2 linked regions of the Xenopus tropicalis genome follow. The protein of the gene in region 1 interacts with the protein of each later gene in a biochemical or structural test. Links are inferred from orthologs where the notes say so. Each region holds a gene or a part of one and is shown on either strand. Other genes may lie near its edges. The genes, in order: hus1 and rhno1.

Region 1 (15,818 bases):
TTTGCATTTCATATGCCATTTGTCATTTCATTTTGGGGGGATTTCCTGAAGAGTAATTTTAGTTTGCCCAGGGAAACTATACATAATTTTTTCAGAACAAGCTCGGCTTTCTAATGTTTCCTATATTTCTGTGTAATTCCACTTCTGTAACAAGATTTAATGGTCTAAATAGCTTCTTCTCTAGCCCCTACTCATTACTGGTCAGAAGCAACCCGGCCCACACACCAACATGCCCAGTGAAAAGAGGTCCAACAGGACTAGGGCCCACTGGGATTTTATCCAGTGCCCCGTTGGGGCCAGTCCAACCCTGTACCCCAATATCCCAGTTTGGGTGCTAGTGTGCTGTTCACCAAGATGGCTGCTGTGAACAGTGGGGGACCAATGCTGTCAAGCAACTCTGTAGTTCTGGACATGCTATGGGGGCACAGAAAAGTTGGGACAAATATCAGTGAAGCGATTAAAGAGGGGGAACTGCTGCTAAACTTAAACAATAGCCTTGGAGGCTTTACTTTTCCTTTAAATAAAAATGTTTACAATATATTCATACAAAATGCTATTATTGCCTCATTGATTAAGCTAAAACTAGCATATTTATGCAAATGTGAGGTAAAAACTTTTATATATGATATAAATTGAACTTTATTTTTTAAGTGTTTTACTTGTTTATAAAATATTAATGAGGCTTTTTGTACCCATTGTTCTAGGGTTAGACAGAAACTTGTTCCCTAACAATAGGATGCTAATCTCCATTAATATGATAAGAATCCCCCAATGGGACCCATACCAGAGGTGTGTGGAGACTGGGTGAAACAAAACAGAACACTGAGCTTTACTCCATTTTGAAAATATCGGGGGAAAAAATGTTGTTAAAACGTCATATAAATGTCGTTTAAACAACAAATTCACAAGTGTCTTTAAACAGTCTTTATTTCACCAAAAACGGAAAAGTGGCGGTTGAGTCAGAATTTAGGTGGATTTCTGTTTGTGAATCTGGAGAAAGTGTTTTTCATCAGTTTTTCAACCACTTTTACTCCAAAAAAGGGCTCTTTCCAATTTTGTGAAATTCCCCCCATAGAATCTGATAGAATCTGTATCCCTACTATTGATTTTTTTTATGGAAAAAGTAATAAGCATTTCCTGACCTTGTTGGTGTTCTTGACTTCCTTTCTTTCAGATCAAACAAAACACTGCTGTGAAAGCCTTCCCCTGGAACATGTATAGATTTTAGGCACAGGATATTGGGGTTCATCAGTAACCTTTTTAGCTGTTTGCCAATAGTTGAAAAAAAAAAAGCCAGTGACTCGTGCCTACTGCAGAAACTGGAAAAAAAAGTAGGTTTCTCCTTGTTTCTCCACTTTTTTTTTTAATTTATACTGTTCTGCTGCCCCATTTTCAATCCAAACTGATTGTTACATTCTAACCCTTGAGTTAATTTTGAGGGGAAAAATATTCTTAGCAAAACTTTGTTTTTGAAAATTTATTGGAAAAATCCAGAAACTAATCAGTCTTCAACAGTCATAATAACTGGATAATGGCAGACCCCTTCATTGGCAATTCATATATTTCCACAATGGTTCAGTCCTATCTAGTCCAGTCCTCTGGGGACTATTTGTGAGAATTGTTCTTGGCAATACATCTTGTTCCCCATGATTTTTATGCACATAGGAACCGAGAGAAACGGATTCCTAACAGCCCAGCCATTCTTCTCCCAAAACATTCTAGTGTAATACTGAAACAGAGAAGCTGGTCTCTGGTTCGCTGAATAATAATCATATAAATAACAAATGTGGACATACCAAATAGCAGTAATTTACTGCAAAATCCATTTAAATCAGTCAGTAGTAGACATACTGAAAGGAGAAGGAAAGGTACAATCACTGGTGGGGGGCACCCCCACTGATTTTAACCACTTACCTACTATCCCAGCCGGGGCTTGTTAACGGAGAACTGCATCGGCCTGGGGTACCTGCTAGTGAGTGATTCTCTTCCTCTCTTTTAGATCCCAGGGCTGAGGCATGTGCAGTAGAGTGAAAAAATCAGCTTTTTTTTGTTACATTTCAGCTTTTCACAGTGGCATGAAGACAGAAGAAGGAAGAGCATTGCAGTAACAGGAGCGCAAGGCTGGGGTATCAGTTAAGTCAGTGCTGTCCAACTTCTGTGGTACCAAGGGCCGTAATTTTTCCAACCTACGTGGTGGAGGGCCGATAATGGAAGCCAGTTTTGACCACTCCCCTTTTTGAAACCACACCCGTGTTATCACATGACCATACCCATATTAATGGTTGTAGTACAGCAAAAACCTGCCATACTCTGCCTTCCCTACCCTGCCTGTGTGTGCTATACTCTGCCTGCCCTACGATGCCTGTGTGCCACACTCTGCCTTCCCTACCCTGCCTGTGTGTGCCACACTCTGCCTTCCCTACCCTGCCTGTGTGTGCCACACTCTGCCTTCCCTACCCTGCCTGTGTGTGCGCCACACTCTGCCTTCCCTACCCTGCCTGTGTGTGCCACACTCTGCCTTCCCTACCCTGCCTGTGTGTGCCATACTCTGCCTTCCCTACCCTGCCTGTGTGTGTGCCATACTCTGCCTTCCCTACCCTGCCTGTGTGTGTGTGCCATACTCTGCCTTCCCTACCCTGCCTGTGTGTGCCATACTCTGCCTGCCCTACCCTGCCTGTGTGTGCCATACTCTGCCTTCCCTTCCCTGCCTGTGTGTGTGCCATACTGTGCCTGCCCCATCCTGCCTGTGTGTGCCATACTCTGCCTGCCCTATGCTGTATGGCACACACAGGCAGCATACAGTGACACAATGCTGGCACTGCTCCTACAGTCTGCACAATAACTATATATTAAAAAACTTTTGGTGGGGGACCAAACAGAGGGGGGTCGCCAGTTGGACAGCACTGAGTTAAGTGATTACAGTCACTGAAGGGTGCCTAACACTCCCCCAGTGATTATACCTTTCATTTCATTCTTTTTGTGACTCAATAAATGTATGTAAGCAGTAAAAAAAAAAAAAAAAAAAAAGTACATTTGCTCTTCTGAGCATTTTTGCCGCTTCATTTCATTTCTGTTACTTGAACTGCATGTGTTTCAACCTCTTTATGGCATCATGTTTAGCGACCAAAGCAGCTACTTAAGTAGTTAACATATGTTCCTGTAATTCAATAGCAAATAAATTACTAACACTATACAAAGGTTTCTTAAGTAATAATTTTGAATGTGCTTAAATGTTAAGTGAAGCCACCATGTATGATCTTACAAATGCCAAAGTACTTCTGGGTTTATAAAATCCTCACATCTGAGAGGACTGTCTCTTGAAAGAAAAACAAATATTGCAGTATATTTGCAAATTGTTGTTTATGTAACTTTTTTTTATTGGGACTGCAATCACGATGATGTAAATTCCCAAGAAAATTTTTTTTTTTTTCAGCCTGCACACTGGATTCTCAAGCAAGGGCTGGGATGAAGTACTGCAGGGAGACATCTTCATGTAGCAAAATAAAGTGAACCATCCGTTTATGAACAATATCTGAAAGAAAGTGAATAAATTAGTTCAGCTGATTCAAATTTAACCTATCATACAGGAAGTACTGCAGAGATCTCTTCAAGCAGGGAAAAGTGGACCACTGGTTATAAACAATAGCAAACAATGGGAAAAACGTCAAATTAATTAAAATTAAAACCTATAGGTAAATGCCCCAGAAAAGTGCAAATTAGCACTAACATCTTAAACATGGAATTTACCATTGGATATTTACCTTTATTATTGTAACTGGATAAGTGCTAGACTAGTAGTTCCCAAACTATGGGGCTGGCCCCTCTGCCTTAAGCAGTGGCAGGTGAGGCTCAGTCCTAAGGAAACGTTATTTGCTATCCTGCATAATAAAAATGTGGCTGAAATGTTTTCTATATATTTAACCTTCATATACTTTTTTTTTTTGTAACTTAAAATTTTTTATTATTTTTTCAGTGCATGGTTATTACATTGTACCATTGGCTTTTATATTATACATTCTTTGAGTAGCATATTAAAAAGAAACAGTACATAATGCAAGTGCCTTATTGTCATCTATGGAAGTTATACTGAAGGCTAAGTGATTAATATTATGTATGAGGGAGAGGGAAAAGAGGTGGAGGTATACAGATTAAGAGATCAAACCATTTAACAATTGGATGCATGATGAAAACATATAACTATATGAGTAAGCCATAAATGAGAGTAGAGGGAGGATAGGGGATAGAGAGGAGGAGAGCGATTAGCTTAGTAATAATCCTCATGGCGGTCTGGGTGTGGAAGTGATAGGGGTAGAAAAGGTTCGGTCAAGAGGCTAGGCCTCGGAGTCCCCATATTGTCCAGACTTTCATATATTGTGCAACTTTGTTTTGAAGTACTGCTATCCCGTGTTCGAAGATCCTGTTTGTATTAGTTCTTTTTATTATTTCAGCCAAAGTCGGTTGGTTTGTGGTTTTCCAGTTGGAGGCTATTGTTAGCCGGGCAGCTGTGAGGATATGGTTGACCAAGGTCTGGCCGCTTTTGCATAGTTTTGTGAAAGGTTTTCCTAGAAGGAAGGTAGGCAGGTCTGTCGGTATCTGCTGGGAGAAGATCCTGCTAATGAGGTCGGCTACATGTGACCACATTTGTTGGATCGCTGGGCACTCCCAGAATATATGCAGAAGGGTTCCTTGTGCTCCACAGTTTCTCCAGCAAGTTGATGGGCAGGTTGGGAAAAATTTATGTAATTTGTCTGGGGTGTGGTACCAGAACATCATGATTTTGTATATGTGTTCTTTTTGCCTGACACACATTGACATTTTTCTGGCGTTGTCCCAGATGCTTGCCCATTCCTCGGGTGTAAGTGGTTGTGGTAGCACTGCGTCCCATTTGTCCATATATTTGTGCTTATAGGGAGGGTCATCTGGAGGAGTAGTGAGTAGATTGTATATGATAGAGATGAGTCTCTTTTGTGGTAGGCCGTTGCGAGCTAGAGTTTCAAATGCTGTAGGGCGAGTAAGCCTGGTATAAGTAGCATATGGTTGTATGATTGTATGAACCTTCATATACTTTATGCACCCTGGCAGAGTAAGATTTTTTGTGTGTGTGAAAATACAGCTGATTTTGAAAGTACACATTCTGCTGAATCTGAAATTGGTACTTAGGAGTAGAAAGACATGGGTACCCATATTAAATATACCTGAATGTGTAATTTACAAAAATATATGGTTTTGGGTGGTCAATGTGTTTTTATCCCACAATAATGCAGTAAATGTGTTGAATTTTCAATAAAGATAAGATTTGGGGCAATTTTATTAGAATATTCCTAAATTTCAATAGAAACAGCTAAGTTCATAAACTGATTTATCGCGCAAATTAGTATTAGTCCCCATTATTCAACATGGTCAGTCAGTAGTGGAGATTTTATATCCCTACATATATATATTAAACTGGTGATTCCAAACAGGTCAAATGGATCAATATTCAAGGCACATCTAATTGAAATGTAACTGAATTGTAGATTGTTTTCAGAGGCAGCATTGCTTTTCAAGGTGACATTTCTCATTGCTGTACAAAACCGAAGGTGGTAGACCACAATGCAATAACTTCACTAAAAGTAGACCCCTACATCAGAATCATTTTCACTCCATCCCAAACAGTTTGACTTTGTCTATACTACTGCTGCTGGTGTTTAGAAAAAAAATTAATTGTATTAATGCAACAGCTTATATTATTATCACACAGGCATAAAAACAGAAAAAAACACAAAACAAGGACAAAAAACAAACTTACTACATATAGCTTTGGTAGGATTGACCTGCTGTCCTGCAAGGAACTGCAAAAGTTTTCGAATGTCTATTCTTGCCTCTGCCATATTATCTATTTCTTGAGTGCTATTTTGAGAGGCATCATCTGAAACTGAAATTCAGGAAAAAAAAGGAACTTAGAAAATCAACTTCAATATTCTAGAAAATAAATATACTGCTATGAGATCCAGTATCAGGAAACCTGTTATCTAGAAAACCTCAAAATATGAAATTGCAAGAGTCCTATTAAAACAAAGTTTTTGTTTTTTACGGATTTGTTTTTACTTTGCAATAAGTCAGTGCCAACCGCTTCATGAAAATATAAGGTGGCCATACATGATAAGATTTGCTTGTTTGGCAAGGTCACCAAACAAGCAGATCATCTCCCGATATACTCAACTAAAGGTGGCCAATATTTAGCTAATTCGACTCTGAAGCTGAGATCTCCACACGTATGGCCACCTTAAGGCAGCAAAAGTGCATCTTGGTGGCAAAATAATCCCACAGGTTGGTTTTTACATTTTTTGCAGTTTTAAGGCATCATATGCTCTACATTATGATGTGGATGGAATGATCACTTATCAAGAAAACCCCAGATTTTTGGCTTGCTGTGCTTCAGAGATGCTGGAGGATACACAGATGGGTGAAGATGATGGATAGTTCCCTGTGGAAAGTGAGAATCGCTATACAACATAATTCTAATAATTATCAGAAGTATACCCCAAGGAGGATTTCCCAGATCTTTGAAATGAGTTGAAACAGAAACTAAGTCAGTTTCTATCTTCAGGTTAATTTCTCCATTTCTATTGGCTTCAATTACCTTTAGATGAGAAGAACAGACAGACAAAACAGACAAAAAATGTTAATAGTTCAGTTGAAAGGGTCCTAACTCCAAATCACTTTTTTTTTGCATAATGAAACTCAATGTAATTCTAAAAAATGCATAGTACAGGAAATTACAATTCACTGTGTGCACAAAACATGTTTTCTCTGCTTTAAAACATGGGAGTGGTGGGAGACCGCCATATTGGTTACTGCAACAATATTCTTCATATACTCTGCAAAAATAACCAATAGACACGGGGAATCTCATTTATCAACCTTCTCATTTTCCTGGTTTCAGAGTTTTTTTTTAAATCACATCTCATGTCCACTAAAACCATGAATTTATTAAAAGATTCAAATTGGAAAAAAAAAAAAAAAAAAAGCACAAACCAATTAAAATACAGAATGAAAACCACAAAGCTTTCTTGGTTTTTCCACGAATCTGGCTCGTTTCGTACGATATTCGGTGCGTGTATGGCAAGTCGGTGAGTCGACCGGTATCGCAGGAGGCTGCTGATATCGGTCGATTCGCCGATAGGGCAGGTCAAAAGATTTTGATCGGGCGCCATAGAAGGCGCCTGAGCAAAATCTGCCGTCAGGGCTGAATCGGCAGAAGGAGGTAAAAATCCTATTGTTTCTACCTCCTTATCTGCCGTTTCAGCCCTGAAGGTAAGTGGCGGGTCTGACGATCTTTCGCGCGACGCAGATCGCCACGTGTGTGGCCACCTTTAGTGGACTTTCAAACAAACAAACAAACAAACAAAAAAAACACCTCTAAAAGCATGGATCAAATAAAAATTATTACAATCTACTTAAGACAACTCCCGCTGACTTTTTCATGACCTTAACAGCTTTTAGATGGAGTCCTGTATTAGTGGTTTTCATGCATAATAAAATTACCAAAAATGTGGTTTTGTGCAAAAAACACAAATCGTGAAAAAAAAAGAAAATACGAACATTAGTACATGCCTACTTAAGAGTGTTTTCTCATTTGTCTTAGGAGAAATCTGCACAGGCATTTGTTGGTGGGTACATCAGTAGAGGATAAGGGAGGTCCCATTTTACCTCCTGTGAGATCAGTTGTTGAGACCACTAAAGCATTAGAACATGGACACAGCACAATACCTGCATGTTTGGTCTGAACTTTTACCATCAGCTAGACTATGGCCACCTTAACTGAAAAATAAACTTGTAGCCTCCTTTTTTGGTTTGCAAATTATGTTCTAGTGTCTTCTGGAAAGATCTACTGGCGATTAAGGAACCAAGACAGTTTGTTGAATGGTCTCTTACAGTAAATATGTAACCTTAAGTGGCTCTTTAACATTGTGAACAGCAGCAACATTGGCACCATCATAAAATCCCTTTAGGCAAAGGGCACACTGAGTGGTGGCTTCGCTGCTTTCAGCCTCCGTTTCTTCTGCAGGCTAAGAAAAACAGATCTGCTACTTTTGCATCTCCATGTATCTGCGCTGAAAAACTACTGCGGAGGGAGCGGAGGTCGGCCGAAAAAACACAAAAAGCAGGAAATTTTGGGGATGACCTCCACTCAAGCAGAAGCTGTACTTTGCAGATACATGGAGATGTGAAAAGGAGCCGATTTGCTTTTCTCCTGCAGAAAAAATACAGGCTAAGAGCAGCAGAGCCAATGATCAGTGTGCCGAAGGCCTTAATAATTTACCTATCCTTCTCAGGATTACCTCTAGCTCCAAGTAGTTTTGTGTACTGTATGGTGCTCTATAAATAGAACACACTTAAATATCCTTGAACAGCAATTTGCATACCAAAAAAAGGGTCATTGAGAGTATAACATTTTGAAATGTGATTGTTTTCCCCTTCTGTCAATGACAGAAATGGAGCAAAATTGTTTTAACAATGTGTATATCAGACACAAGAGCATCATTACTTTACCATGAAATAGAAGCCAGTATATTTCAAACCAAATGTCCAAGGTTTAAATCTCCTATACTTTTTATATGCTTCATCTCCTCTGCCCCACATTCCCTTCTCTTCCTCATTTATTTATGCTCTTCCCCTTATTTCTCCAGGCATTCTCAGGTCCTACTTCAACTCATTCATTTATTTCGGGCTGCTGTCTTATGGGGCAGATTCACTTTGCTTTATGTGAGCTGTTTGCACAGAACATAGTGAGCTTCCATGCTCTCAAGATTAAGCAGTGCTGAGATCAGTTAGTAAGTCATTTCACTTACTGAAATATTTTTGCTAGAGATAAAATTCTACTATGTTCAGTAAAAAAAATTCTCACTGACACCACAGGAAATTTGCAATCTGACGGTCTCAATTTGACATAAAATACACTGCATTCATTATATAACCTAGCATTTATAGATAATACTATAGAAACTTTTTAATGGGAAAAATTGGCTTTCATAAAAAATTATTCAAAAATAAAAAAAAAAAAACACAAGGCTTTGCAATCTTCTAAATTAAAAAAACAAATATATATATATATATATATATACTTACTATATAATTGCTTAAGTTTTTCATCCTTTCAACGACACTCTTCATAGTTTTTAAAGCAGGCAAATAAATGCTTACCTAAAAGGGAAAAATATATATACAGTGATGTAAAGTAATGCATACCTGAAGCTCCTTTTGAAAAGAGCGGTTTAGCTACTTTAAATCGTCTCAAAGATTCTACATGTCCTTAGCGACAACTGTAAAACATCATAAATATTAATGGCATTGATCATGTAAAGAATTTAGTACGCAAACTGTAACAGGATGTGAAATTTTTACAGGCATAAATAATAAATAAAAAAGTCAGCAATTGCTTATTAGAGAATTTTTAGTTATATGTAATGGCGTCTGCCAACCCTACTGCACTACTCCAATACAATTAACCAGACAGTGACTGGTGTAATGGGATTGCCAAGACAGAAACTTTTTATTCCAGGTACTTTAGGACAGTGGTCCCCAACCTTTTTTGTGCCAAGGACCGCTGGCAAGCGGGTAAAATTTTCCACGGACTGGAGGGTGGGTGGGCGGGGTTGCGCGCATGCTTTTATGGGCGCATATTCAGTGCGACCAGGAACAGAGGCGGCCCACTACAAAGCAGCCGGCGGCCCGGCACTGGTCCGCGGACCGGTGGTTGGGGACCCCTGCTTTAGGAGCCTACTAGGGTAGATGCAGTTTAAGGTCTGGTACTAACTAATATTAACAAATTTATCTCCAGTAATAGTGTGGATGAGCATTCAGGGAACAGTGATCATAACACGGTCCTTTAAGATTATGTTACACAAAAAACTAAGAACCTAAGTCTGAGAATTGCAAACTTAAGCAGTATAAGGGCATTTTTGAAACATAGTAGCTGGGGAAGACGTTTCCAAAATGGAATGCCTTTAAAATGCTACCAAACAAATATACCTGTCAGTATAATGTACTTGTAAGCAAGAAAAGACTTAGCAAAGCAAAACCATTAAATACTTACATCAAACTCAGGAACGCTTGGTTCTTTAAAATCATTCCAGAGTCTTCGTGGAATAACACTTACAGGAATGTCATGTGTAACAATTCGACTTGAACTTGATAAAGAAGGCTGAGTGAAAGAAAAAAAAATTGCACAAATCTTGACAGCATGCAGAAATCAATAAAATACCAAATCAGTAGTTTACAAAATTCTGAATGTAGGCATTCAAAAAGCAAGTACTGCATTTTCATAACATGGAAGAATCTGTAAATTATTAAAAACAAAAAAAATGCTTGCACAATCTTTTTGTGGAAATGTAATATTGTTTCCCTATGTATTCTCATGTAAATTAACCAACAAACTGAAAACCGTCTTAGGTTGCAATATTCTAAAACTGTATTGCATTTTAAATGTATTTAAACGAAAAGGAAAATAAGAATGCTAGGATTTGGACAAAGAGCACACTACTAGTTTACAACAACCTTTTATTTAAAAAGTTTACTTGCTTTAGGTTAATACCCCATGGGGAGATTAGTCACCCATAATAAATTCCTTCAGTCGATTTAGCGATGCATATGCCTTCCCATCGGCAGTTAACATTATTGCCAGTGGGAAGGCATTTCGGGGAGATTAGTCACCCACGGTAAGCAGAGATTTATCTCAGTCAACTAATCGCCCCATAGGGCATAAGCCTTAGAGCGATGGCACATCACTGCTTCTGTGAGCGACTAATCTCCCCAAAATGCCTTCCTACAGGCAATAAAGTGAATTGCCAGTAACCCAGTTATACCCAGGGCTTCATTTTTCGAAGTTGCCTGAAGATCCCTGCACAGGACTTCAGAAAACAAAGCGCAGGCCCACAGAAAATGTCTGTTATATGGTATGCTACAAAACAAAGTTTTGAAGCAAAACATCAGTCTAATAGTGGTAAGTTAAAAGCATGTGAACAAGTTAATAACTCTGCCCCACCCTACATCTCTGAACTCATCTCTAGGTACCACCCAACCCGCTTGTTACGCTCCTCTACTGACCTGCTCCTCAACTCCTCTCTCATTCCCTTCCCACACACTCGCATTCAAGACTTTGCAAGGGCTGCCCTCCCTCTGGAATTCGCTCCCACAAACTGTCAGACTTTCTCCCAGTCACTCTGCCTTCAAGAGATCCTTAAAAACGCATTTATTTAGAGAAGCTTACCCTAATCTAGTTTAACATAACCTCAGTGTGCTGCTAAAAGCAATACCCTGAGCCACACCTCTCACAACTCTGGTCATGCCCATTCCCACACCTTGTGCCTCAACCCTTTCTCCTTGTAGATTGTAAGCTCTTTTGGGCAGGGCTCTCTTCACCTCCTGTATCGGTTATTGATTGCTTTATATGTTACTCTGTATGTCCAATTTATGAAACCCACTTATTGTACAGCGCTGCGGAATATGTTGGCGCTTTATAAATAAATAATAATATTAATAATAATGATAAGTGATATCGTAATTTCCTAAAAATGTACAACTTGCAAAATGTAACTTCCTTCACAGGATTCATTTTACTTTGGAATGAAGCGACACACAGGCATTCAACTAAACAAAAGTTTGTGTATACCCAGTTTTAGGCCAACTGACCTCCACATTCATAAGAAACCAAGTCAAGGCTTACTGCAGAGTACTCCTAAAGAAGATTACATATAATGGCCTACACCAGATCTTGCTGCTTAACAAAATAACTATAGTTAAAGTACAATATTCCTTTATATGACAGCATTTTTTTATGTAACTTATAATTATAAAAGTTTCTCTGCCTTAATGAACTACTTGAAATGAGCTTCTTGAAACACTTGTGTTATTTTTAGCTGGCTGAGTGGGAGCAAGATTCTGAACTATATAGTTACCCAGAAATAAATCACTTGAGACAATGAATGCATAACAAGGGTGGCTTGTTTTTATACCATTACATCACTTTTATTATCTATTCTACTACAATTCCTCCCCTTCTAAGTTTAACTCCTTCAAATAATCTCAGTGGCAATCTACCCTCTACTTTGGCTCATATCACTATGAGAGCAATCATGTCAGGATGAAAGCAATGTTAGGGAAAAAAATAATATTAACAAGGAGCTAATTATATGGGAGGGATGAAATAATGGCTGAACTAGCTTCACCTATAGCGAATTGGAGAAGGCCAACCCTGCCTCCTGACCTAGCTACTTGTTGGATTTAAGGCTGATGCCGCAAGGGTGTATTCTCGGCAAGCCAAAAAACCCTTGCCGATAATACGCCCGCTACTGTAAAAGTGTCCTACCTTGTGCCTGGACCTGAACGAATGGAATACGCTCGGATGCAGGCATATGTAGCTGATATCCACCAAAAAACGCAAGACTTCATATCTTCTGAGGATATGACCTACATGTGCCTGAACCCGAGCATATTCCATTTCACAGGTAGGAGCGTATGGCATTATTTTCGGCAAACGATATTCAGGTTGCCGAAAATATACGCCATATGCAAAGTGTGGCATCAGCCTAAATCAAGACGATAGGCTGTCACTGCAGCCTTTTTCAAAGGCTGAAAAAGGCTGCAGTGACAGCCGAAACGTTAGTCTGTATTAATAAATTTTCTGTTTATTGCACTAAGACCTGTGAGTGCGGCATCCTTGCTATTTTTGTACTACACTTGTATATACTGCACCCAGGCATTTTTGGCTCCATTTTCACGCGAGTGCCTGCTTTGCATGACTTTATATATATATATATATATATATATATATATATATATATAAAACTTTTATGAATTGCTTCCTGCCTCTTACTATTTCACCCTTTATCTTTTTCACATTTTCATAACCACTCTCCTCATGTATGTTCCTGAATCAGCTCTCCCACAACCCTATTTATTATCATATTATGTGATAGAAAGGGGTGGGGAAGTAATTTTGTTCTTACCATGCCTACAGTATCGGGGTCTTATCGTATCCTCATTTATACTTGCCCGATTGGATCGGTGTGAGACAGTTTTGAGTGTCAAGGTCCTAAGAAGTTATTTACAATTATCCAGAACAAGTGCTAGAACACAAAGGGGTGTAAAAAATCACTGTGTCTAGAAGAGTTGACAGTGGGGTAGTGTAAAAAACTAGGTGGCTTTTCCACGTGTTTTTTGAACTTTGACATTAATCTAGAGAGATCTTTTCCTAACAGCAGGAAAAGGTGCACACAGATTATGCAATTTATGCTTTGCTTATAACCTTTGACTCTCTTCTGGGCTTCTGCCTGTCTCTGAAACTCTCTGCCTCGAGCCATCAGTCTCTCCCCTTCCTTCCAAACACTCCCTAAAAACCCATCAATTTAGGAAAGCATATTCAATATATCCCGACTGATCCAACATTTATTTATGTATCATATATCATCAATCTGTTTCCATATTCCTTTTGTACCCTTAACCCCTTTAGATTGTAAGCATTTGCAAGTAGGGCCCTATGATTCTATTGTTACTCAAAACCCTTGATGGTTAAATCATTGTAAGAGCTGTATAATTTGCTGGCGCTATAAAAAAAATGTATAATAATACTTACAAACAACATTTGTAAGAAGATTTTACATACAAACATGCCTTCGTAGACAAAATACAATTATGCCGATATAAAATTCAAATTTCCTTACCAACTCTAGAGCCACTGTCAGACATGGGCAATGCTTGTTTGTCAGTTTTACTTTCACAGATTTAGCATTCTGAGCAGTTTTTAATGCTCGGGAAAGATTTTCAGGTATCAGCTCCAAGAAGATTTCATTCTGCTCCATGCAAACACCTTCCATTTGATATTCATCAAAGAAATTGCCCTGAAATATAAACAAAATTCTCAAAAAAAAATATCCTAAACCCATTGACCTTGTTTAGGTTTTGGATCATTTCAATCAATGTATTGAAAGTAGTCAAGCCTTCGTTTCCTGTTACAATAGCCTTTAGTTTTCTGGAAAGGCTTTTCTCTAAATGTGAGAATATTTTTAAGATTTGCTTCCAGCCACCCACAGAAGCATGTGTGAGGCTGACCAGTGACAAAGCTTGATCAGGCCTGGCTTGCAGACAGTATTTCAATCACAGGCGTTAACTGGTTAACAAATGTTGCTTGATGCATTTGTTATTAGCATGCTGAAACAGGAAAGAGCCTTCACCAAAAGAGAAAAAAACATGGTACTTACACCAGGTAAAGGAAATTCATATCTGGTGCAAGTACAGTGCTTTAGAAAACAGAAACAGAGGGTCATATATGCTTGGCAGCAAACTTTAGCATTGGTCGTAATAGCGTTCTTACATAGAGCCCTGGTTGGATTAAGACAGATGTAAGAAGCTCAAAAAGCTGAAATACAGGACTGTGATTAGTCCAATAAGAATAGTAGTTACCAAACTCTTTAAAAACTTTTTTTCTTTTTAATAAAGGCATATTTGAACGAATATTGAGCAACCATCCTAGGAGTTTGATAATTACATGTATTACCAAAGTGGATTACCTGGCTAAGCTCACACCACATACTGACTCCTCCATTGGCTACCTTGTCAGTTAGAATAAAGTACAGATTGTTAACGGTGAGCCTGAGGGTACATGTCTTTGTCAGCTTGCTTATTGTATTTATGACTCCTTCAGAAGAGAAATCAAAGAAAGAGAAAATTAAAATACAACACACACGTTACTGAAACACAATTACAATGCAGTGATACTGATGCATTCTTCATGTTTTATTGTAATACTTTAAAAATCTTCCTTGCACTGATGTAACATAATAAAACTACGATTTTGCCTCTCCTCAACCACTAGTTATTACTATTGTTAGTAAACAGTAACGCCATACTACTGTCATTGCTCCACCCCCACCAGGACTATTACAGCAGTCATGGAAAGAAGGCATGGCGAGAGTCCAAAACCAGAAAAAAAGACTGCTGTACCAATGATGTTGAACTAACAATTACCCAATAGGTTGGAACACTGATGTAAGCCGTGCCTTAAAGAGGACCTGTCACCCAGGCATAAAAAGCTGTATAAAAAAAAAAAAGCCCATTGCAAATTATTATATTATATAATATGTGCCCCAAACTCATTTTTTTATTAACACATCCAAACCCATTATAAAAGCACTTAAAAATTCCAATTGTCAATCATATATTGCCTGCCCAGCCTCTATGCCTAAAGGTGGCCATACACGCACCGATATTGTCGTACGAAACCTCGTTTGTACGATAATCGGTGCGTGTATAGTATGTCGGCGAGTCGACCGATATCGCAGGAACCTGCTGATATCGGACGACTCGCCGATCGGACCAGTTGGAAAATTTTGATCGGGCGCCATAGAAGGCGCCTGACCAAAATTCTCCCTTCAGATCTGAATCGGCAGAAGGAGGTAGAAATCCTATTGTTTCTACCTCCTTACCTGCCGATTCAGCCCTGAATAGTGTGTGGCGGATCTTACGATATTTCGTGCGACCGATGGTCGTACGAAACATCGTCAGATCGCCACGTGTATGGCCACCTTTAGGCATAGAGGTGGGGCTGGCAGTTACTTTCACTTTGAATTCAGAACTTCTTACATGTTGCTGCACTCCTCACATTCCCCCCCCTCCTCACAATCTAATTTTGTAACCAGTGCATAGACATGGCATCAGGTCCCCCCATACTGACACAGAAATAAGATTTTGGCAGGATGCAAAGCTTGCCTTAATAACAGTGTCCACAAAATGATACCTGCCTGCTTACTGCAACTGTGAATTCCAAGGCTGAAGATTAA
Region 2 (16,341 bases), on another chromosome or scaffold:
TTCCCTGTATAACTCAGCCTGCAGCCTTGTGCCTTTATATGGGCACAGAACCCCTCAGTGACTGCTAATATCCTTATCATTTACAGTAGGGGGTACATTATCCCTTATAATACATGAGTGATACTCACAGTTCCCTGTATAACTCAGCCTGCAGCCTTGTGCCTTTATATGGGCACAGAACCCCTCAGTGACTGCTAATATCCTTATCATTTACAGTAGGGGGTACATTATCCCTTATAATACATGAGTGATACTCAGAGTTCCCTGTATAACTCAGCCTGCAGCCTTGTGCCTTTATATGGGCACAGAACCCCTCAGTGACTGCTAATATCCTTATCATTTACAGTAGGGGGTACATTATCCCTTATAATACATGAGTGATACTCAGAGTTCCCTGTATAACTCAGCCTGCAGCCTTGTGCCTTTATATGGGGGGCACAGAACCCCTCAGTGACTGCTAATATCCTTATCATTTACAGTAGGGGGTACATTATCCCTTATAATACATGAGTGATACTCAGAGTTCCCTGTATAACTCAGCCTGCAGCCTTGTGCCTTTATATGGGCACAGAACCCCTCAGTGACTGCTAATATCCTTATCATTTACAGTAGGGGGTACATTATCCCTTATAATACATGAGTGATACTCAGGGTTCCCTGTATAACTCAGCCTGCAGCCTTGTGCCTTTATATGGGCACAGAACCCCTCAGTGACTGCTAATATCCTTATCATTTACAGTAGGGGGTACATTATCCCTTATAATACATGAGTGATACTCAGAGTTCCCTGTATAACTCAGCCTGCAGCCTTGTGCCTTTATATGGGCACAGAACCCCTCAAGTGACTGCTAATATCCTTATCATTTACAGTAGGGGGTACATTATCCCTTATAATACATGAGTGATACTCAGAGTTCCCTGTATAACTCAGCCTGCAGCCTTGTGCCTTTATATGGGCACAGAACCCCTCAGTGACTGCTAATATCCTTATCATTTACAGTAGGGGGTACATTATCCCTTATAATACATGAGTGATACTCAGGGTTCCCTGTATAACTCAGCCTTGTGCCTTTATATGGGTACATATCTGGGCTGCTGCTGAGAAGCTATGGGAGATTAGAAGAAATCATTATACATTAGCAGTCACATGTGCCATAGAAGCTGATGCTACAGTGCTGATTATTAATCAACTTTGATGCAGACTGCACTGGTTTCCATGTAATGTAATTCTGAATAAGTCACTAATCAGCCTTGTATTCTGCATTTTATATACTGTTTGTGCTGTAGGTGGGTCCCTGAGTGACAGCAGCCCAAAGCATGTGCTGGGAATCAGCAGAAAAGAAGATGAGGAGCTACTGGGGCATCTCCAAAGCACAGATCTTCTCTGGTAATAGACATGTACAATAGCCCCAAAGCACTTTTTAAGTGTAATTCCTTATGGAGCTTTAGTTTTTGTTTTTGTTAGAAACCTCCATTCCATAAACAATGTACCCCCCCCCCCCCCCCGGTAGTTCCTTAGCAAGACAGGCCCCTGCCACATTCCGGTAAAGGAGCCACAGGCAAATGGCCGAATGAATGAGCCAATGCGATCCTCGATCCAATGGGAAAATGAAACCTGACTGATCAACACCTGCCCGATTTTCGCCATCAGGGAGGCCAGTCGGGGGACCCCATACACAGCCAGATAAGCTGCCAAATCGGTCTGAAGGACTCGATTTGGCAGCTTAACTTTTTTTTTTTTAACAGTTTAAAGGTGAGCAGCCTCTTTAAAGATCCACTCGGCCATATTGGGCTGATCAGATCTTTGTCGAATGACTGGATTAAGACGTGGCCTATGGGTACCCACTGGGCAAGGACGATATCAATAAGCTGATGCTTTCATTGCCCAGTGGGATTTTAATATTTGCCCAACAGACACTTCAATTATGTGTTGGGAGGCACGCATCTATGGGCAAAGTGCTCAGCAGCCTTCATTGGCCCATGGCATGATCAGTTTTACCCATGAAACCTGGCTATGGAACTCTCCAGATGCTCAAATAGGGCTGTGAATCCCGGTACATGAGCTACAGGACGGAATCATCTTGCCTTGTCTTTACCAAATGAGACTTTCAAATCTGCCGGATATCAGTTGGGAAGATGTTCCCCTACACAAGCCAATAAATTGCCGACTTGTTATTGAAATATGCAACTTATCTAATGAGGCACCATATTGAGCATTGCCTGCTTTGTAACAGATCACTGACAAGATATGATTGTACCTAAAGGTCCCCATACACGGGCCAATTGTAGCTGCCAATATGGGTCCCTTAGACTGATTTGGCAGCTAATCGGCCAGATGTCGATCGGGCAGGTTAGAAAATCTAGCCCAGGGGTAGGGAACCTACGGCTCGGGAGCCAGATGTGGCTCTTTTGATGGCTGCATCTGGCTCTCTGCCAAATCTTTAATAAAAAAAAATAACGAGGGGCGTGGCCTGCGCTCGGCGCATAGAAGACGTGTTCTAAGCCTTAGAACACGTCTTCTATGCGCCGAGCGCAGGCCACGCCCTCCTCCGCATCTGGCATCCTTACCGGGTTGCACTTGAACCAGAGCCCAGTGAACTGAGAGGGACATTGGAGCAGAAACCTGTGACAGTTCACGCTTGAATTGAAATTAAAATGTGGCCAATATGTCTCTGTTGGGGCTACAAAGAGAAGCCAACTGTGCACTGTGCTAGGTAGCCCTCTAGTTATACCACTAACAAGCCATAGTGAACAGCTAAAGATAACACCCACACTACCTTCCCCCGCAGCATCCGCGGCCGAATGGGCCTGAAGCCACATCGTCCTCCACAGGCAGCCGAAAATCGAGGCCCTGGCTTCGGCCTTGCTCCCGTCAGCCATTGTATGGCTCTCACGGAATTACATTTTAAAATATGTGGTGTTTATGTCTCACTCAGCCAAAAAGGTTCCCTACCCCTGATCTAATTGGATCAGGGACCACATCGGCTCGTTGATAAGGTCCCCGAACCGACATTGCCTATACCCGTCGTCATAATTTGATCGTTTGGCCCCACATTGCCAAGCGAGCGGATCTGAAGGTGTATGGGGACCTTACGAAGGGTACTACAGATACTGGCCTGGAAGGAAACAGCCTCTTCCATCTGGCTGTAAGCTCAGCCATACATTTCCCTCAGTCAGAGCCTCCATATTAATTGAGCAGTGTGGACGTGCTCCGAAGAGCACTTTGAGCAATTTTACTTTGACTTCAGCAGCCCGTAAAGTGCTTACATTGTGGTTCTCTTCTGAACCAAGGCATATATAAAGCAACCAAAACTGTCCAACAATAAAAGTGCATAGTGAGGTTTAATTCATTATAGTGAGTGACAGAAACCCTTATCCAATAGGCCGCTCCCTGCCTATGTACAGCAGTTCAGCAGAGGCTCCGCTCGCAAGTCAGTCAGTGATAAATGAATCTGGGAGCCTTGAGTCACACTTGTACCACAATTTGGCTTTTTTTTAGCCGTCCTCGTGCTTTCAGGTAGGTCATGAGTTGTTCCCTACGCCGCCACGTGTTTTTCACCCCATACTCGTGCTCTGGTGTATCCTCTGCCAGTACATGTGATGGGCCGGTCATCACCGGGGAGTCAAAGCCATCCCTTGGTTTATCCTGCCCTCTGTCTGGGGACCTGCCCACGGGTATTCCATTGGGTAACTCTGTATTGCAGTTAAGGCTGGTTTCTGGGGTCCGTACATCTGGGGGGGTAAGTACATTGCTGCATGAGTCTTCTTGTGGAAGGGGAGACAGTAACACATTTCTTTCCCTTCGTTTGGGAAGCGTTGGCTTTGGCCTGGCACAGACCGACCGTTTTCTTGGGGCTTTTACAGTCCCCTTTGTAAATGATAAGGAGGGGAATTTGCAGGCACCGGGTCTGGTTCCGCTCCCTCTCAGCTCACTGCGGTTCTGCAGAGTGGTGTTGCTGGACATATGGCGGAGCCTCCGGCGCGCTGGGAAGTGCAGTTCTTCCGTCTGGTCAAACTGCGGGGTAACCTATGTAGGGAAGCACATACCTTGTCTTTAGTGCATGGGAAAATCATAACAGTGACACAGATTAAAGGGGAAATTCACCATTATTATTATTAACATTTATTTATAAAGCGCCAACATATCCCGCAGCACTGTACAATAAGTGGGTTTCATACATTGGGCATACAGAGTAACATATAAAGCAATCAATAACCGATACAAGAGCTGAAGAGGGTTCTGCCCAAAAGAGCTTACAATCTACACCATTAAATTAACTTTTAGTATAATGTAGGCAGTGATATTATGAGGCAATTGGTCTTCATTTATTATTTGCAGTGTTTGAATTATTTAGCTTTTTGTTCAGCAGCTCTCCAGGTTGGAATTTTGGCAGCTGTCTGGTTGCTAAGGTCCGATTTCCCCCAGCAACCAGGCGGTGACTTGAATAAGAGACTGGAAGATGAGTAGGCGAGGGGCTGAATGGAAAGATAAGTAATAAAAAAGTAACCATAACATTTTAGCCTCACAAAGCAATAGTTTTTGGGTTAGTGACCCCGATTTGAAAAGTAAAAAGTCACAGAAGAGGAAGGCAAATAATTCAAAAACTATATAAAAAAAGAAAAATTTAAAAAATGAAGACCAACTGAAAGGTTACTATGAATAGGCCATTCTATAAACATATGTAAAGGGGTTGTTCACCTTCCATGTCCTTTCCCTGTCTCCCTGGATGGGAGAACCTGACACACTGACAACTTCCTATATGCTTACATCATCACATCCCTTACCTTTTCCCTATTGGGCCAATTCATTGGTTGCTTGTGCACTCTAACCAGCTGCATAAATTGAAAGGCCATTGGCTAATTTCTCCCTTGCAATGGTGTAGGCAAACAGACTCAGCACATCACAAATCTTACATACTGTTATGATTTGCAGCACTGTCACAATGTGTAATTGCTGTTATATAGGTGTGGTATTTGTAAAAAAATCCCTAATTTTGTAGGCAATTACAAATAATACACGGTGCAGGTTTCCCTTTGTGCAAAAAATTAACCCTATCTGTAACAATGGCTCCTTTATTGGAGCTCCCTATAGATCGTATCACTTCTCTGTCAGAGTTTGAAATGACGAGTGGGCGTGTCCTAACAGTCCCTGCCAGAAGCACAGTAGGAGGGGGAGAGCCAATCACAGCCCTGCAGTCACACCAGCACAGACAGGCTTCAGTTCCCTATCAGGTCAGCCTAGCTGCTGATTGGTTCCTATCCTACAGTGCAGTGTACTGAGTGCCGCCGGCTCCCCTGAACATCCAGAGAATTCAGCCAGCAGGAAGTGGAACAGATGGGCGGGGCTAGTGGGGTTTTGGGGGAATTTCTCAATAAATCAGTCTGAAACACAACTTTTTTTTAGCACAATCCGTCTATATCTAGAGGAGCATAATTCCCTGGTACATTTATAATTTTTATAGGATATGTCTCCTTTAATATATGGTACCAAAATACTGAAGGCCTCACTGAAACCTGCTGGTGAAATGTTGCAGATGATAAATGTGTAACGTGTAGCTGGACTCCATACATAGTAGGGGGGTGGGTGGTGGTCGCAGCAACAGCTTTTGTGTTTGGTTTGTCCCTAGGGTGCGGTTCTCTGATGGGCCCCAGGTACCCCAGTTCGACACTGGTTTTCTGGGGGTCTGTGTATAGTTAGGGGGGGGGTTACTGCACATAATACACTGACAGGGGGCTCTGTGTGCAAAAGCTGAGTTGCAGACGAGAAATCCTTATGCGCTATTTTCATTTTGGGGTCAGTACATACCGCAGACTTTGGTATATCTATGCATATTGGGCATCAAACTGTTCAGTAGGCCATTGGCCATTCATATTTAGGGTGATTTGTCATTGTATGTGTAGGGACCCATAGGGTTAATATGCCCCTATGATGTTAAACCCTACCTTTCCTTTTCTTCCTTGTCACTAGGCAGGATTTACCCCACATAAAATGCAGTAAATATGTTGATTGTGCAGTAACTAAAATGACAGATCATATGGGGGGGCATTTTTATTTTGGGGCCCCTACATGCCCTATACTTATGTAAACCTATGCACAATATACATAGTAACATAGTAAGTTAGGTTGAAAAAAGACGTACGTCCATCACGTTCAACCATAATGCCTATATATAACCTGCCTAACTTCTAGTTGATCCAGAGGAAGGCAAAAACCCCATCTGAAGCCTCTCTAATTTGCCCCAGAGGGGAAACGATTCCTTCCTGACTCCAAGATGGCACAATGGGCATCAAACTGTTCAGTGGGCCTGTTGCTGATGACATTTAGAAGCCTATATCTTGTTACAGAATCAGGGATTCTCATTGGAGAATTGTTTTGCATTATAAAGCAGTTGCTGGCTGTGGAGATTTGGGGAATAGTTTTATTGTGCAATACTGCTTTAAAAATGCAATCCTGATGTTGCTAGACTACAGCTCCCAGCATGCTTGAACTATCATATATTACATTATTCTGGGATTTATAGTCCAGCAACAACTAAATAAAGTTTGGTTGAGCAGTGCAGCAAGGTTTACAACCCCTTAACATTCATCAATGCAAAGCAACGTATCCCTTGGTCAGACTGTGATTGCTGTAAACAGCTGAATGCCATTCTGATGAATGGGGGTGTTAGATCCCAGGGTAGCCCAGAGCTTTAACACCCTCCTGAATCAAAGCAAACTAATGTAGCAATGAAAAAATACCCAACACTTACCCAAGAGGCGGATGCATTGTGATCCAGAGGTTTGGTGGGCACACATACAGGGTGGGCCGCCTTGTCAGGGGGTAGTCCATACTCATGGCGCAGACCCTGCTTTGGGCTTTCCAGGAACACCAGGCGTGGTTTGCTTGCGTTGTATGAGGTCTGCTTCTTACGAGGCATCGGCAGTTAATGGCAGGAACGCCAGCAGCCACATGGTGCTAAGGGGCAATAAACAAATGGCTGTATCCAGGAAAATCAGCCCTAAGGCACAAAAACAGAGGGACAGCAGGATTAGTATGAGGTGCAGAACACTGACAGGCAGTGGGCAAATAAGCCTCCCATTAAATAAGCCAATGGGATTTTACAGGCAAAGCCAAAAAGGTTTGATCTAAAATAGATCAAACCTTTTTGGCTTTGCCTGTAAAATCCCACTGCCTTATTTTTAGATTCTAAATCCTTATACTTGCTGCTGGTACAGGTATAGGACCCATTATCCAGAATGCTCGGGACCAAGGGTATTCCGGATAAGGGATCTTAGTTGGGATCAAGTACAGGTACTGTTTTATTATTACAGAGAAAAGGGAATCATTTAACCATTAAATAAACCCAATAGGGCTGTTCTGCCCCCAATAAGGGGTAATTATATCTTAGTTGGGATCAAGTACAGGTACTGTTTTATTATTACAGAGAAAAGGGAATCATTTAACCATGAAATAAACCCAATAGGGCTGTTCTGCCCCCAATAAGGGGTAATTATATCTTAGTTGGGATCAAGTACAGGTACTGTTTTATTATTACAGAGAAAAGGGAATCATTTAACCATTAAATAAACCCAATAGGGCTGTTCTGCCCCCAATAAGGGGTAATTATATCTTAGTTGGGATCAAGTACAGGTACTGTTTTATTATTACAGAGAAAAGGGAATCATTTAACCATTAAATAAACCCAATAGGGCTGTTCTGCCCCCAATAAGGGGTAATTATATCTTAGATGGGATCAAGTACAGGTACGGTTTTATTATTACAGAGAAAAGGGAATCATTTAACCATTAAATAAACCCAATAGGGCTGTTCTGCCCCAATAAGGGGTAATTATATCTTAGTTGGGATCAAGTACAGGTACTGTTTTATTATTACAGAGAAAAGGGAATCATTTAACCATTAAATAAACCCAATAGGGCTGTTCTGCCCCCAATAAGGGGTAATTATATCTTAGTTGGGATCAAGTACAGGTACTGTTTTATTATTACAGAGAAAAGGGAATCGTTTAACCATTAAATAAACCTAATAGGGCTGTTCTGCCAGGGATCAAGGGATCAAGTACAGGTACTGTTTTATTATAACAGAGAAAAAACAAATCAGGTTTAAAAATTCTGAATTATTTGATTAAAATGGAGTCTATTCGGAGCTTTCTAGATACCGGGTTTCCGGATAAGGGGTCCCATACCTGTACGTTAGCCAAGCTCTGAGTGCTACAGTCATTAGTCTCTGCCTCCTGTCATACCATGAGTTACCCACAGATGGCGCTCCCAACATGACGGCTCCGATTCCGTTTAAAACAAACAGGTCCAATCAGCATGTTCCCCACCAATCAATTTGTTATCCACAACTGCACCCACAACCCACCGACAGCTACAAACCCTTAATAAGCGGACAGGTAGCCCCCGAACATTCCGGCCCAGCGCTGTAATATCCCCTTCTTTCCGGGATACGTTAGGGCTTCTCTCTTTCCCCGACACCGATTGGCTACGGCGAGCGTTCTATAACTCGCTCATTATGATTGGCTCTTTGCCAAAGGAACTCGTTGATTGATTGCGCGATTGGTCGAGAGATGCGTGACGCGCTAGGGACGCGCTGTGGATTGGTCGATGTGGTCACGTGGGTTTAAGCGGGCCCGAAAGCGCGAAAATTCAAAAACCACGGAAAGGCCCGATATTGACACCGTCTTATAAACAGGTATTTAGATCGGGTTAGATCGTCATCGGACGTGAAGTTGGGGCTGTGTGTGTATGAGGGTGGGTGCAAGGCTTGTGTAGAAGGAGCATGGAGGCCTGTGGGTGTAGGGGGTGTCAGTTCTCAATATGGAACTGTCATGTTCCACTCTATGGAAGCCGCTGTTGTTCAACTACAACCCACCTGTAATGTCTTAATGGTCTTTTGGGGGAGGGGGTGTCCTGCAATGGTTCAGCCACATATTTTATATATATATATATATATATATATATATATGGGCCCTATCTGCCCATGGCAACTTTATCTCCCAATTGTGAAAATGTATCCTGTTTTCTGGCTTTAGTGCGCCCATATAATGAGGTTGTTGGGTTATACAATGGCTTTGCCTTCTGTCTGCCTCACCCTCCTCCTCCATCAATTCAATGGGTAATGAGTGACCTATTCAGTGAATGAGGAGGGGACAGGGGCTTTAACAATCAGTAAAGGGGGGTGCTAGAGCCATTGTCGCTCACTCTGTAGCAGTGCGGGTGTTATTAGGGAATTAGTATAGGTTGGAAAATAAAGTTAGAAACACACGAGAAGGGATCTCTAACCCCCTTGTATCACATATACAGCAAGAACCTAACAGAATAACGTTCTAGCTGGTCCAGTTCTCCTTACTAACCAATCAGAGCAGCAGGGAGTTCATTATGAAGGATGCTGTACCATAAATGCCTGTAATCCTTCCTCTTTGTTCCATAGCCCCAAGCAAATCATTCTATGCATCAGCTGCTGTATTGCTGGGGGGTCCCGCAATGGGTCAGTAAGGCCACTTGCCCAGCTACTGTATATTTGGGCACTATCTGCCGCTGGCACTGTGCTAGTGATGAAACCACGCAGCCATGGCAACTTTATTTACAAATTGAGGATATTTAACATGTTTTCTGGCTTTAGTGCAAAAAAAGGGAAAGTTGTGCTGACCATTACATTTTAAACCAGGGGGTCCTCAAACTACGGCCCCCCACGGGCATTTACCTACCCCTGCTGTGTCCTCACCCCTGGCTACTACCTGTCTGCCTCAGCGTGGCCCTCGCTGGACACATTAGCATCGGCGGGTGTGACAGGGTAACGTGATGCAGCCAAGGACCACGCTGAGGCAGGCCAGTTATAGCCAGGGGTGTGGGACAAACTATAGTCTGGCCCCCCAACAGTCTGAGGGACTGTGAACTGGCCCCCTGCTTAAAAAGATTGAGCACCCCTGATTAAACCATTAGGCAGAGGTGCAATAAAGCTGTGACTGCAAAGTTCATATAGACAACAACAACAAGAGGTCCTCTGCACTCCCCCATTATTAATATATACAGGTATGGGACCTGTTATCCAGAGTGCTCGGGACCTGGGGTTTTCCAGATGTTTCTTTAATTTGGATCTCCATAACTTAAGCCTGCTAAAATCATTTAACCATTAAATAAACCCAATAGGGCTGTTCTGCCCCAATAAGGGGTAATTATATCTTAGTTGGGATCAAGTACAGATACTGTTTTATTATTACAGAGAAAAGGGAATCATTTAACCATTAAATAAACCCAATAGGGCTGTTCTGCCCCCAATAAGGGGTAATTATATCTTAGTTGGGATCAAGTACAGGTACTGTTTTATTATTACAGAGAAAAGGGAATCATTTAACCATGAAATAAACCCAATAGGGCTGTTCTGCCCCCAATAAGGGGTAATTATATCTTAGTTGGGATCAAGTACAGGTACTGTTTTATTATTACAGAGAAAAGGGAATCATTTAACCATGAAATAAACCCAATAGGGCTGTTCTGCCCCCAATAAGGGGTAATTATATCTTAGTTGGGATCAAGTACAGGTACTGTTTTATTATTACAGAGAAAAGGGAATCATTTAACCATGAAATAAACCCAATAGGGCTGTTCTGCCCCCAATAAGGGGTAATTATATCTTAGTTGGGATCAAGTACAGGTACTGTTTTATTATTACAGAGAAAAGGGAATCATTTAACCATGAAATAAACCCAATAGGGCTGTTCTGCCCCCAATAAGGGGTAATTATATCTTAGTTGGGATCAAGTACAGGTACTGTTTTATTATTACAGAGAAAAGGGAATCATTTAACCATGAAATAAACCCAATAGGGCTGTTCTGCCCCCAGTAAGAATTAATTACAAGGTACTGTTTTACTTTTACAGAGAGTCTATGGGAGACAGGCTTTCCGTTATTTGGAGCTTTCTTGATAACGGGTTTCCAGGTAAGGGATCCCATACCTGTAATCATGATAATGCATTTATTCTCCCGGAAATAGCAGCTTTCTTTTAATAGATGTTGGTTTTAGGGAGAAAAGTTAATTAGTATTATTTGCTTATAATGGAGTCTATGGGAGATGGCCTTTCCGTAATTCGGAACTTTCTGGATAAGGGGTTTCCGGATAAGGGATCTCATACCAAAAACAGGGATTGTCTGTCCATATATTCTGTGCATTGGTAGCTTAATGCACAGAATGTCTTAATGTTCTATATATATATATATATATATATATATATATATATATATATATATATATATATATATATATATATATGTGTGTGTGATAATGGGGGAGTGCAGAGGGGCTCTTAGTGCCCCCATATAATGAAGTTGTTGAGTTATACAATGGCTTTGCCTTCTGTCTGTTGTTCTGGGAGGAAACAGATCTCTAAGACCCCCTAGTAGCGCACATACAGCAAGAACCTTACAGAAGGACCAGTTCTACATTTTCAGCTGGTCCAGCTCCCATTACAAACCAATCAGAGGAGCAGGGAGGTAATTATGAAGGATACTGTAAGATAAATGCCTGTAATCCTTCCTCTTTGTTCCATAGCACAAAGCATATCATTCTATGCATCAGCTGCTGTATTGTTGGGGGTATCCCTTGGCCGTTGCCCAGGCACTAGATCTTGAATGAGGGGCATTGGGGAATGTAACGCCAACAAGAACCCACTCTATGATTGTAGATCTGATCTAGAACTGATGAATTTATTTTATGCCAATCTGTGGGCAGTTCTTATTCCCCATTATTTTTCATGCCATGGATATGTGCATGTATGTTGCAGAGCAGGGCATCCAGCTTTTTGGGGGTGATAGATAAACTGTGGGGCAAATGTTCAGCTAAAACGTAACATGTTCTGTGTTTTGATTTTTAAAGCGATTTGATAAAAAGTCTTCATTCTGAGCTCTCAATGGCTGCTGGCCGTGCCACTGCACCATGAGAACAAGCCCACGCAGGCCACTCATACTCAAGAGACGCAAGCTCAGCCTCCCTCGTCAAGATGCCACAGACTGCCCGGGGTCCTCCCAGCAGGGCAAAGCCGCCATGAACAAAATGGCGAATCCACCTGAGCAAACCCTTGTCCATGGCTTGGAAGATATGGCATCCAAGACGAAAGCGCATCAGGGGGCCCCTGGGCCAAACCTTGGGAGCGAAAGTGGGGATCCTATCACCCCTAGAATAGGACTTCCAGCAAACTCACAGCAAAACTGTCAAGAAGGCGTTCCAGGCTTCATTCCTGGGGTACGGATCGTGGGTCACCCCACAACGCCGGACACTCAGCTGGTGATCATTCCTTCTCAATCCAATGTCCAGAGCATCATTCAAGCATTAACCGCCCGAGGAAAAGAGAACGGCGGCCCCAACAAATATATCATCATCAGCAGCGAATCCGCTATCCAGACTCAGGCGTGGCAGCAAGCGCTCCAAATTAAAGAGGAAGAGAGTGCGCCCTTACAGTCAGAAGCAGCGTGCCTCTCCAAGAAAAAACCCACCGGGAGCAGCAGGAAAGGTACTGCACGTATAATGAGATCCGTGTAAAGGGAAAGTAATGGGCTGGCTCAGGTATTGCACAGTGTTAGATCAGATGCAGGTAACATTCACTTCATTACAATGTGCACTCATCTGAGACCCTCCCCCAATTGCCCCATAGACAGTGCCCCCAATTGCCCCCCATAGACAGTGCCCCCAATTGCCCCCCATAGACAGTGCCCCCAATTGCCCCCCATAGACAGTGCCCCCAATTGCCCCCCCATAGACAGTGCCCCCAATTGCCCCCCATAGACAGTGCCCCCAATTGCCCCCCCATAGACAGTGCCCCCAATTGCCCCCCCCCCCCCCCCATAGACAGTGCCTCCCGAAGTCGGCTGCTTCTCCTCTGACGTTGCCATCTTCTCCAATGACGTTGCATTCCTCTACAGGACAGACCCTTTTAAAAGGTTGTGCCCCGTGCGTACTGACGTCACGTACACATGGGGCGCGACCAATCACATGACAGGGCCCGGCCATAATAGATTAAAGGGGGCCCGAGCCAGTCAGAAAACTGTAGCACGGCTGGGCTCCCTTTAAAAGTGAAGATTTGCCGGGCCCGGGACAACTGTCCCCCCTGTGCCCCCCTGATGGCGGCCCTGTCTAGGAGAGCATATCCCAATTCTATTTAAATCTCGGCCTGTGTGGCCTTTACACTGGGTGTCCTAGAGGGCCAGCCCCAAAGTTTGGAAGCCACCGGGGAAAGCTTGAAGCCAAACAGTAGCAAAACCACTGCTCTAAGTTGAAAATGATCTCTGGCCATCTCTTTCCCTTTATAGCCAAGCATCAGCAGGAGGAGCAGCTAAATGCCAGCCTGTCCAACATACAGTGGCTGGGGAACATGAGCTCCGAGTCCTTGGGGCAATACAGTATAAAGGAGGAAGAACATGAGGACAAGGAGAATCAGATCCCAGAGACAGGCTGCCCAAAGGTAAGTCCCCCCCCCCCCCCCCCCCCGTGTTTATATCCTACTGCATTTAGTCCTATTCCTTAGTCTGCTATCTCTCCCCAATACCCCAGATGGAAGATGAATCGCAACTTTTTCCTGATCCACAATGGCCCGTCTCTGTCACTGAGCGCCCCCCCTATTCCTACATGGCTCTGATCCAGTTCGCCATCAACAGCACCCCCAGGAAGCGCATGACCCTGAAGGATATCTACACCTGGATCGAGGATCATTTCCCGTACTTTAAACATGTGGCCAAACCTGGCTGGAAGGTGGGACTTAATGTTGGGCGGGGCTAACTCACTGAGGGTTATACACAGGAGGGTGGGAGATTTTCTTTAAAGGGGATTTCTCAGTTGAAATGTACGTGAGTGTCTCTGCTTCTTTCTAACTCCATTCTGTTTCATAGAACTCTATCCGCCACAACCTCTCCTTGCACGATATGTTTGTACGGGAAAGCGAGGCCAACAACAAGGTTTCCTACTGGACCATTCACCCCCAGGCCAATCGCTGCTTGACCCTGGACCAGGTGTTCAAGGTGAGACCCCCTTCAATTTTATGCTTTAGAGTTCATAACATCTATCTCTATGGCGCAGCTATAAGGGGGGTGAATATTAAACTTATCAATGGAGTAACGAGGTGAATATCGCAGATTGTGCTCAGAATTATCAGTGGGGTTGGCTGACAATATTATTGGATCTGGGTGCTTATAACCCCACCCACCCTAAAGGTCCCCATACACGGGCCGATTGTAGCTGCCCATAACAGTCCCTTAGACCGATTCGGCAGCTTATCGGCCCGTCTAGGGGCAGAAAAGAGGGGCCTGCCTGACCGATATCTGGCCTGAAATTGGCCAGATATCGGTCGGCCAGGTTAGAAAATCCCGTCGGATCGGGTTGATGCGGTCCCCGAACCGACTGCCCCATTGCCCGTGCAGAATTCGATCATTTGGCCCCAGGGCCAAACGATCGAATTCACTGACATGCCTCCCCGATATCGCCACCCGTAGGTGGGGATATCGGGTGAAGATCTGCTCGCTTGGCGACATCGCCAAGCGAGCGGATCTGCCCGTGTATGGCCACCTTTAGGGCAGGTTAAAAGATTCAGTCGGATTCTGGGACCGCATTGGCTCGTTGATGCGGTCCCCGAACCGACTGCCCCATTGCCGCCAATATAATTCGATCGAATTAACCTACACGCTCCCCGATATCGCCCACCCGTAGGTGGGGATATCGGGTGAAGATCCGCCGCGAATCTTAACGTGTATGGGGACCTTAAGGGTCGGAGAGGTTCCGTTGCCAGTGATAGATCTCTGCTATTGTGGGTAACTAACTGGAGTCTCCGTTGGAAAGCCCATTGCGTCGCTTCGTTTTCCCGAAGTCGTACGAAATTGCCTACGGGAGGAAGCTCTGTGCAACTTCGGGTTACCAAAGCGATGCAAAGGGCTTGAGGAGCAGTTAGTCGCCCGCAATAGCTCAGTGGAATGGATTTATATAATGTTTCCCTTGCTGAGCTTTGTCACACAAGGGATAACCTGGGCTAGATTACAAGTGATATTGAATTAACTTTTTTTTCTCTCTCTCTCTCTCTAATAAACCTCCCTCTATACTGTGCTCCTGTGTTTCATCTCCTGAAGACTGCAGTTTCCATGTCTCCTGCAGACGATGAACCGGTATGGATTCACTTGTGTTCCTAATTGGGTGCTGTGCACTGTGTAAAGGGGAAGTTAACTTTTAAGCCTAACCATCATTATGATATTATTTAATCAATATATTTCTATTGTGCTGATATGTTCAGCACAGCCTTACAGAGTTGCTAGTCATTCACATAATCAAAATGCCTGGCAAGCTAGCAATACAGTTTTTTTAAATCTTGCAGATCTACTTTTAAGGCAAATTAACTCTTAATATGCGATGTAAACGGTAATATTCTGAGGCAAAAAGTCTTTGCTTTTTTTGGAATTATATAGCATTTGGAATTTCAGCATCTGCCTGGTTGCTAGGGTCCAATGTACCGTAGCAAACAGGCAGTGGCTTGAGAAACTGAAAGATAATAGGGGAAGGACTGAATAGAAAGAAGCTATATAAAGCAATATGTTTTTATTGATAATAGAATAATCTATAACATAATAGGGTATTCTATAACATAACAAATGTTTTTTTTTAATTTTAGAGGCCTGACCTATCATACTCATTTGAGTTTTTTTTATTTCTTTTCTCCCCTGACAGCAGCAAAAGAAAATGATCCCCGATATAAGAAAAAGCTTGCAGAGTGCAGCCTATGCCAGCAACAAAGGTGAGATAAGCTGTATTCAGTTTAAAGGGTTAAATGTCCCTTGACTTATTCTAATAAAATTCTTCATATGGCTCTTGCTTGCCCTAGCTTCTATAAAGTTGCTAGTGGCTCATGTGGCAGTTTCCAAGTCTCCATTGTTCTCAAGCTGGCTAGCCACAATCTTAGTATCTCCTTCCCATTGCCTTCCTGTCGTTATTCTCGGCAAAGCGAGTCCCTCCTGCGGGGCCCACTGTGTTACAAATGTGTGTCCTGGATAAGCACCACTTACAACTTCTCTTCTCCACCTCCTGCTCCAGAAAGAAAGATGAAGCCCCTACTTCCCAGAGTCAATTCCTATTTGATTCCAGTGCACTTCCCTGTGGCTCAGCCGGTCCTGCTTCCAGCAACAGAGCCGTACGCTTATGAGGCAGAATGTCTGGATAGGCACCAGAGCAGCAAACGTGTGAAGATTGCCCCAAAGGTAGGTGTTGGGAGGGGGTTAGCTATATATTACCCATTACCCCCTACGCATTCACCTCCAGTTACTATGCCTGGTTCCGATAGGCTCATTGGTAAGCATGTCTAAAGCGGGTCGGTC

The links.
Region 2: the proteins of hus1 (region 1) and rhno1 form a complex in vitro, tested with the Homo sapiens proteins (2 studies listed by BioGRID). The link is inferred for Xenopus tropicalis from reciprocal best matches to the Homo sapiens genes HUS1 and RHNO1.

Annotation. Positions count from the first base shown.
Region 1 is NC_030682.2:59,391,382-59,407,199, forward strand, and holds the end of hus1 (checkpoint protein HUS1), read right to left. Parts: intron 14,678-15,818; coding exon 14,550-14,677; intron 13,881-14,549; coding exon 13,704-13,880; intron 10,187-13,703; coding exon 10,079-10,186; intron 9,187-10,078; coding exon 9,112-9,186; intron 6,623-9,111; coding exon 6,523-6,622; intron 5,915-6,522; coding exon 5,789-5,914; intron 3,533-5,788; coding exon 3,450-3,532; 3' UTR 3,342-3,449; downstream 1-3,341. UniProt on the Homo sapiens protein: Component of the 9-1-1 cell-cycle checkpoint response complex that plays a major role in DNA repair. The 9-1-1 complex is recruited to DNA lesion upon damage by the RAD17-replication factor C (RFC) clamp loader complex.
Region 2 is NC_030679.2:10,378,347-10,394,687, reverse strand, and holds rhno1 (RAD9, HUS1, RAD1-interacting nuclear orphan protein 1), read right to left. Parts: upstream 8,481-16,341; 5' UTR 8,377-8,480; exon of another isoform or gene 8,184-8,376; intron 6,999-8,183; exon of another isoform or gene 6,956-6,998; 5' UTR 6,918-6,955; coding exon 6,750-6,917; intron 4,028-6,749; coding exon 3,467-4,027; 3' UTR 3,324-3,466; downstream 1-3,323. Other genes in the region: foxm1 (forkhead box protein M1), read left to right, coding at 11,933-12,506, 13,303-13,454, 13,544-13,741, 13,879-14,007, 15,106-15,141, 15,698-15,764, 16,061-16,224. UniProt on the Homo sapiens protein: Involved in microhomology-mediated end-joining (MMEJ) DNA repair by promoting recruitment of polymerase theta (POLQ) to DNA damage sites during mitosis.